Mus musculus: one gene and its partner. The protein of the gene in region 2 binds, or shares a complex with, the protein of the main gene of each other region. Links are inferred from orthologs where the notes say so. Each region holds a gene or a part of one and is shown on either strand. Other genes may lie near its edges.

The links.
Region 1: Lsm5 (region 2) and Lsm6 share a complex: the UniProt entries of both Homo sapiens proteins name them as parts of the precatalytic spliceosome. The link is inferred for Mus musculus from reciprocal best matches to the Homo sapiens genes LSM5 and LSM6.

The regions. Positions count from the first base shown.
Region 1 is NC_000074.6:78,807,613-78,811,319, reverse strand, and holds part of Lsm6 (U6 snRNA-associated Sm-like protein LSm6), read left to right. Parts: intron 1-1,259; coding exon 1,260-1,373; intron 1,374-3,074; coding exon 3,075-3,109; 3' UTR 3,110-3,707. UniProt on the Homo sapiens protein: Plays a role in pre-mRNA splicing as component of the U4/U6-U5 tri-snRNP complex that is involved in spliceosome assembly, and as component of the precatalytic spliceosome (spliceosome B complex).
Region 2 is NC_000072.6:56,701,750-56,706,326, reverse strand, and holds the start of Lsm5 (U6 snRNA-associated Sm-like protein LSm5), read left to right. Parts: upstream 1-1,627; 5' UTR 1,628-1,658; coding exon 1,659-1,704; intron 1,705-2,917; coding exon 2,918-3,013; intron 3,014-3,293; coding exon 3,294-3,321; intron 3,322-4,158; coding exon 4,159-4,231; intron 4,232-4,577. UniProt on the Homo sapiens protein: Plays a role in pre-mRNA splicing as component of the U4/U6-U5 tri-snRNP complex that is involved in spliceosome assembly, and as component of the precatalytic spliceosome (spliceosome B complex).

The DNA of each region.
Region 1 (3,707 bases), on a different chromosome or scaffold from region 2:
TGTTCCCTCCCAGTCTCAACTCACAAACAGTGAATAATAGTGATGTTACATTTTGAATGACCCTGTTGTCTAATTCCATATCATGCAGTGCAAGTTTCCTACTCGTCTCTGAATATGCTTTCAGTGTAGCATAGCAGAGAAGAAGCAAACTGGGAGACTGTCTTAAGCTTTCTTTGGCTAGGAAGTTATTGTTCTTGATAGTTGACAGTCCAGTCTGATTCTTTGAAAGTTTATCCCTTCTCATAGAATTCTGTTCGGTTAATGTCTTGTGCTCAGATTACACACACAGAGATTTGAAAAGAAACCTCTGTCTAGAGGATAATGGGGGCAGAGCAGAGAGCCAGGAGCATATTAATGAAGTTAAGATCTTAAATGGGACTATTGACTTAGTTAATTGAATTGAATCTGTGGTGTGTTTTTATTCTCTTTTAAAATATCAGTTTTGCTTAGAGATGAGAATTAGAAGCTTACTAGCTTCATCTTTTGAAAAAAATCTTCTGGTCAGATTTTAGAAATTTATGCCATCTTAACACGAGTAAAAATCCACCCGAGCTGTTTTCCTTGAAAGCTCCCTGGCATGTTTGTAGCCGTTTTTCTCTATTAGTTTTGATTTTAAAAATAGTCCAACTCTGACAAAACAGAATGCAGTGTGTTGTAATGCAATATGTTGCTCTCTGTTCCCAAGCTGCTCCTCGCTGAGAGCCACAGCTCTGAGATGGTCTCTCAGGAGCACCTGCTGTCTATTATCTTAACAGATTGTGGAGACTTCCTCTTCACCCTGGGTCCATTCATCTGCTGCAGTAGATGTTGTGAAAGACTGAGACAAACTGCCAGATCCCTATTTCACCGAGCGAGCGAGTGGCTGAAGTAACAAATGTCACCTCGATGGAGGCTCATTTGTCCCTGCATAGTTGCCATGTCTGTCCCGGGCTCCCATAGAAGGGCATTTTGGTTGGAATATTCTAATGCTTATACTTTTGTGAAGGCTTTCAAAGTTGCTGTGGTGAGCACACGTCCCAGGAGGGAGTGACAGTTGGCTGCCTGTCTTGTGGTGGATGCACAGCTCCTCTCATGCTCTGCCCGCCCAGCCTTCATTCACAGGGGCACCGAGGAAAGGCAGGCGCCTTTTGTGTTTAAGTCTATTGAGTTTTGTTTACAGTGTGAATTTTTATATTATGTGTCTGAAGGCTAATGAATAAAGTGATTGTCAGTTCTAAGATATAGCCTGTAATTTTGAATTCTGTCTTACTTTTCTCCAGGGGTCCTGGCCTGCCTGGATGGCTACATGAATATAGCCCTGGAACAGACAGAGGAGTATGTAAATGGACAGCTGAAGAATAAGTACGGAGATGCGTTCATCCGAGGAAACAATGGTAAGAGCTTCCCTTCCATTGAGTGTTCAGAATAGGCCGTTCCTGCGTGTAATAGGGAGCTGCGGGGCGTCTAAGTGTTAAGGTTCTCTTTACTTTTGCTTGTTTGTTGTACTTATATTTTAGGTCTTTAGTATAAACCAGGTCTGTTTGTGAGTGGGAAGAGGATTTTCCATGGAGGTTGGAACTAGAAATTCTCTTTCTCAGTTGCTGAGGGGTATTGGTATACTAAGCAGGCCCATTAGACCAGGGACCCAGAGGGTGTGCGGCACACAACCACATACTGTACTCTCGCAGTGCTGTCTGGGAGTGGAAGCCATCCTGTGCCACAAAACGCCCTTGACATTTAGCCTGTCCTTTGTCCTTTTTCTGTTCAAGATTTAGGTGCCTTTTGTGGAGCTTTGTACCTTTCCGTGTGTCAGAAGTAGGACAGAAGGCGTGGCTCTCAAGTTCTCTTCTTAAAAGCCTTAAAAGTTAGGTCTCGTTAGGAATTAAATATCCTGACTTTTGTAGACATACCTTGCTTGCAGTTCAGTAGAATTTCTTCTATTTCATGTTATTCTTACTTGCCCTCCTCCTTTTGCTTGGAAATATTATGCTCTTAAGTAGCCCCCATAGCAGGAGCCATTCCTACACTGACATCCACCTAGCCTGTCTGGTTTCCCAGGCAGTGGCTTTCCTCCTATTCTGATGGCTCCTACACTTTACTGCCATCCTCAGTAACAGGTGTCATTATTCCTACTACTTGTAGTTGGGTCTTAAAGAGGATCCTAGTTCACTTGATTGAAGTCTGTGCTGGACTCTTTGAGGAAACATCTACTGTTCACTTTGAACAAGCTTGTTCGTATCTGAAGATGTGTGGGATGGGAGAGGGAGGGTACACCTTAGGTGACAGCCTGACCAGAGCCCCTTTTGTCCTATCTCTGTGCAGCACACATTCCACTGTGCTAAGAATGACTGGCGAAAATACATGTTGGATGACACCAAAGGTTTATACTAATCTCAGAATAAGGACTTTGCTTTCTTAAAAATGTTTTCTCATTTTTTTCCTCCTATGGAAATTATCAGAGTAAACCAATTTACAGAGTAAACTGGGGAGATAAACGAAAATAATGCCATTTCTTTCTTTTACATTTTTTTCATGTGTATGAGTGTTTGTCTGCATGTCTGTAAGTACATCATATGCGTGCCTGGTAGTTGAGGAGGCCACACAAGGTCACTGGACTCCCTGGAACTAGATTTACAGTTGGTTGTGAACTGCTTTGTAGGAATTGGGGACCCAGCCCTGTTGCTCCGTAACATCTGCAAGTTACATCTGCTCTTAAGTGATGGGCGTCGTCTCTCCAGACACATGTGCTAGTCATTCTGAATGTGACACCTAACCTAACAGATCTGGCTGATTCGCCCTTTTCAAAACTTGTGATATAGCTATTTACAAATCATTCTTACATTTTAGGCACTTTCACTTTTCTAATTCCCAGTCATAATTTGTAAAGTCAGTAACATGCATAGATAAGACTAGTTATAATCAGGTAAGATGTCCAAGCCCGGTCTAGACGCAAAGCTTGTTTTATAGAGACCTTCATTGCATGGTAGAAACAGTCTTTTAAAGTGTTCGAGGTGTAGGCCAGGACCCATGAATGCCTTTAAAACTGAACCGATGCTGTGCCCCTCGAGTGACTGCTCGTTCTCTTGTCTTTCCAGTGCTGTACATAAGTACACAGAAGAGGCGGATGTGAAGACACCAGGAGGCAGTGCTCTTCAGAGATGGATAGATGAAGTGGTTTTGGTTCTCTTACCATCTTAGTTGGCCTGTTTTCATGGTGGCTGGTGGGGGTTTGTTTGTTTGTTTGTTTAATTGACATTGGAATAAGATAGAGGTATTGCATTACAGATCGACTCTTAAGTTTTTCACATTTATGTCTCAGTCTTTATCATTTCTGCCTGTACAGAATGCTAAAACTAAAACAGTTTGTTTCTCCAGGATTATTTTACCTAAGATTCCTGCCCTGTCATTCCATTGGTTGATTACGTATTCAGCTGACTAAGTGGTACATCCCGGAACCTGTGATCAAGCATTCTGGAGGCATCCTTTGTCTCTTTCTCTACTCACCATCCGTACCATTTAAAGCAGGTAGATAGAAAGTCATATGGTTTCAGCCTTGGGCTATAAAGGGACAAGAGGTCAGAAAATCAGCTGTTTATTTAGTCACCTAGTTAGTGGTGGTATCTCCACAAAGGAGTGCAACTGTAGAGTCAGGAATTGGAAAGGTCAGCCACGTGAGGTGAGACACTGCCTGGAAGCCTCCTGTGCAGTTAGACTCTTCATGTTAACTT
Region 2 (4,577 bases):
GCAAACTGAACATCTTTACCAGGACATTGAGCAGTATCATGCAGTTAAATAGAAAAAAAAATGAGTGAAGACTGGGGTTACTCAGGAAATGGATTTGAAAAGGCAAGTGTTTTATGCTCAATGTGGGAGAAATGGGTATGGTTTAAAGACAAGATCAACAAGAGAAGCTTGGAGTGACACACATCCACTGCACACAATGTTTCCTTTTCTCAGAATGCGGCTTTTGCCTCTTCTCTGCTTACCCATTCTTAGTCACTGTGTGAGAAGACTCCCAACAACTCCTCAGTTCTTCAAGCTGTGGCCAAGGGACAGTGTTTTAACTTGTTTTAAGCACAAGGAACTTAATCCTGACTCTTACCTCAAAAGGATGGCTGTCAAGTGTGTTTGTAATTGCCTTGGGACCTAGTAGATCTGTAAGACTTATAGATTGGGCGTGGAGGAAAAAAAGCCACCACTGGCTTGGAATTGAGAATGGAGCTGAGTTTTCATTGCTTTCCATATTAAATCCCATAGTGCTGTGCACATGAAATGTACTATTTGTCCTCCTTCCCACTCTCTTGGTTGAAGACTTTTCTGAACATTGTTTTATGTATCCAGCAAGCTGCTAGTCAAACAATATTCCACTGATATGTTTTTTCAATGGAGGAATGAAGGGTGCTCATCTCTCATATTTAGGCTGTTTGGTTTTAAGTCTGTCACATGAGATGGACAAAGGCAAAGTATTTATCTGCTTTAACAACAACAACAACAACAACAACAACAACAAAACAAGCACGTAAACGAACAAACAAAAAACACTAGGGCCCAAACTCCGGGCCTCATGAATGCTAGGAAAGTACCCTATAGCCAAGCTACCAGCTAGCCCTTGTTAGTTTTAATTTCTTATTTTGTGTCGGGGTCTAAGAGGGCCATGCCTGCAACAGATGCCTCCTTTTGTCTCTCAAGTGTTGGGTTTACTGGCCACTCCACGTTAAAAGGGGGCTTTTTAATCTTTTCCAATGCAGAAGTGTGATAGCAAGGTTTCCAAACATGATGGAGTCAACATACAGAGTGACATCTTACGGTTGCCTGCAAATTGAAAACTGATAGTGACTTTAATGCCTGTAATAAACCAGACACCTAGAAACGACAAGAAGAAATTAAATAATAGTAGAAGTTTTTTGTTTGTTTGTTTGTTTGTTTGTTTTTTCTAAAAAAAAAAAAGCTTGTGAAAAATGCTGCTTTATAGACTTTCAGTCCTCTGGCCTTAAAAGTACCAGATTCCTTAAAAAAAAAAAAATGAGTAGTTGTTGAGGAGCATGCAGAACGAGTTTATAGTAGGAAATATAAATTGATTTTATTGCTCTGAAGAAAGATACAGGCTTGAAATGCAACCTTCTAGAGGAAAATTAACCGACTCAGAGATCTCGTATGCTGGTCTTCCGGCGGCAAATTATCTCTGAAGTTTAGCAAAACTTGGGGGTACCATAGGTGCCTGTTGGGTTGGTGGCAGGGATAGAGATCCGAACCTCTCTATCGAATCTGTCTGCGATCCATTGGGATCCTCTGGATCTCAAGATCGGCTTTGGATTAGTCTTGTCTGAACCAGCTGTGGAAAAGGGCGGAAGCGCGCAATTTTAAAGTCTGCGCCGGTGTCCTTAGCCACTTCCGGCGTGGCCATGGCGGCTAACGCGACCACGAACCCGTCCCAACTCCTGCCACTAGGTAAAAGTCTTGTTTGGGGAGCGGTCGGGTTGCTGCAATTCCACGCTGGGGGCCGAGGCTGGGCCACCGCCCCTCCGGGCCCGGCTGTCCGGTCCTTGGCGTCACTGGGCAGACAGACAGACCGTTTTGCCTGTCGGTGGTCGGTGAGGGTCCCACTTAGTGAAGGACGTGCTCGGCCTTTTTGAGCTCGCCAGTAAGATGTCATGAGTCGCGCAGTCCCAGTTCTCAGCTTGGCCTTCTTGGTCTCCAGATCAGGTAGACCCTGTATTGGCTTGGGTAAGGAGTGCGCCACGGCATACAATGAATCTTACAATAGAAATCTGGAAACTAGCCCCGTCGTTCATTAATTCAACAAGCAATTCCCGCGCAGTGCCAGAGAACTGTTGAATAATGAACTTGAATTACAGCCATTGCTTTCAAGATCGCACACCGGCACGCATCGTGCTGAGCAATTCTAAGATGCTGAGATGAACAGGTTGGCCCAGGAGCACAGAGAGTTAAGGTTAAGTGAGAGAAGGAGTGACGGGAAAGCCGGTGTCTGTAATAATGCTTCTCCCTTGTCATGTTTTGGGGCTGGTGAGCTTAGTGAATGTGTCTGTGATTGAAAGTTTTTGCAGTGTTAGATATTGTTTATCGGTACAAACACTGATGAAGAAAAACAGTTATGGTCTCCACCCACCTCATGGTGTGTGTTTTCATACATTAATCAAATAATCTAAATAAAAATCACAGTCCTATTAATTGCAAATAAAGAGTTAAGTGAAAGCTAAGGCAAACATTTGTGCTAACGATTAAACAGAGATTTGTGTAAGATGTAAAATTACCGAATGGTTCCAGATACATATGTAGGAGAGTATGGCCTTTTTTGACATCATTGGGAGGGGAGGCTCTTGATCCTGTGGAGTTTGATGCCACAGCATAAGGAGAATGCTGGAGTGGGTGGGTGGGTGGGGGAGCACCCTCATAGAAGCAATTGGGGAGTGGGGAGAAGGTAGATATGGGAGGGGTGTTGTGGAGGGGTAACCAGGAAGGGGGAATATCATTTGAGATGTAAACAGATGGAATGATTAATAAAAGTAAGTAAATAAATAAATAAATAGCAAAAAACTGAATGTTTTTGCTTATCTTTAATGATAAAAAATAATAAGTGAAGTAGGCATTCAAATGTTGGTCGATCTAATAAGTAGGTAAAATTACCCTTTTCCTTCCACAGAGCTTGTGGACAAATGTATAGGGTCAAGAATTCACATTGTGATGAAGAGTGATAAAGAAATTGTCGGGACACTTCTAGGATTTGATGACTTTGTCAGTATCCTTTTTAAAAGCGGGAATGGTGTAGGTTTCTAAAGATGTATTAATATAAGAAAGAACTATAGACAACCGAAGAATTTCTGGTTATTACATTAAGAATAATTTTGTTTTCCAGGAACTTGGTAGTATTTTAAGAGGTGTGTTTGCTGACAGTTGATAGGGCTCTTGCCAACAACAAACCTTTTGAATTTGCACTATCATAGTGTTGAACATATTTTAAACCAAACAAAAACATATACCTGAATAAACCTTATTTATTTTCTTAACATTAAATTCAGATATGGTGTTGGAAGATGTCACAGAATTGTGAGTAGTATTTAAAAAATTAAAAAAATTTGAGAGGAGGGGAGGAAATCTCTTTTTAATTAAAGATGGTGCCTTGATTACTTTTTTCTATTAATGTGAAGAGACAGCATGACAAAGGTATCTTATGGAAGAATGCGTTTAACTGGGGGCTTGCTTACAGTTTCAGATGGTTAGAGTCCCTGACTGTCCTAGCTAAGAGCTTATATGTTAGATAATAACCAAGAGAGAGAGAGAGAGAGAGAGAGAGAGAGAGAGAGAGAAGTAAATAGAGAACGCGAGCGCACTAAGTGGGTATAATTTAGGTTTTTGGAATCTCAAAGCCTAACAGGGTGATACACCTCCTCCAAAAAAGGCCACACCTCCTAATCATTTCCAGTTTGCCAACAGAGGACCAAGTGGAGGCCATTCTCCTTTAAACCTCCATAGCAGCTTTAGTATGATCGATATAAAAAAAATTACTTGTTGGAAAATACCTTAATACTGAAACGTTATTTACTGGTGTTTGTGAGGTCCAGTTAAAGGATTATTATCTTCATATTATTCCTGAATTTGTAAGAAATTAGTGTGAACAAGCTTTATGGTGAATTATATTTACATGAGTATTATCCAATGGGCAGTTTGTATTCTGTATATATTTACTGTAATTATATGCGTTCACATTGAATCATGTGTAAGAATAACAGCTTTGTCACTAGGGATTGAACCCAGGGCCTTGTGTGTGTGCTCTGCCACCAAGCTATTCTCCTTACCCCAGTAGGACTTTTAGGGAGGGAAAGTGTTTCTAATACTGCCTTTGATTACTTGTTTATCCAGACTCCATTTAATCTATCTTTTTAGTGAAATTACACCAGAAGGAAGAAGAATTACAAAATTAGATCAAATTCTACTAAATGGAAATAATATAACAATGGTAAGACATTAAAACTTTTCTCTGGAAATTATTTTACTTTTGTAGTGTAGGGATTATGGAACTGACTTAAACTTCTATTTCGTTGGCAATGTTCATGGCACTGAGATAGACACACTGAGGATGGGAAGGGAGCCTTGGTGATCTGTGCCTCAGGGCAGCTGTTGAAAGTGCTTTGGTCCTTGTCTTAGTCAGGGTTTCTATTCCTGCACAAACATCATGACCAAGAAGCAAGTTGGGGAGGAAAGGGTTTATTTGGCTTACACTTCCATACTGCTGTTCATCACCAAAGGAAATCAGGACTGGAACTCAAGCAGGTCAGGAAGCAGGAGCTGATGCAGAGGCCATG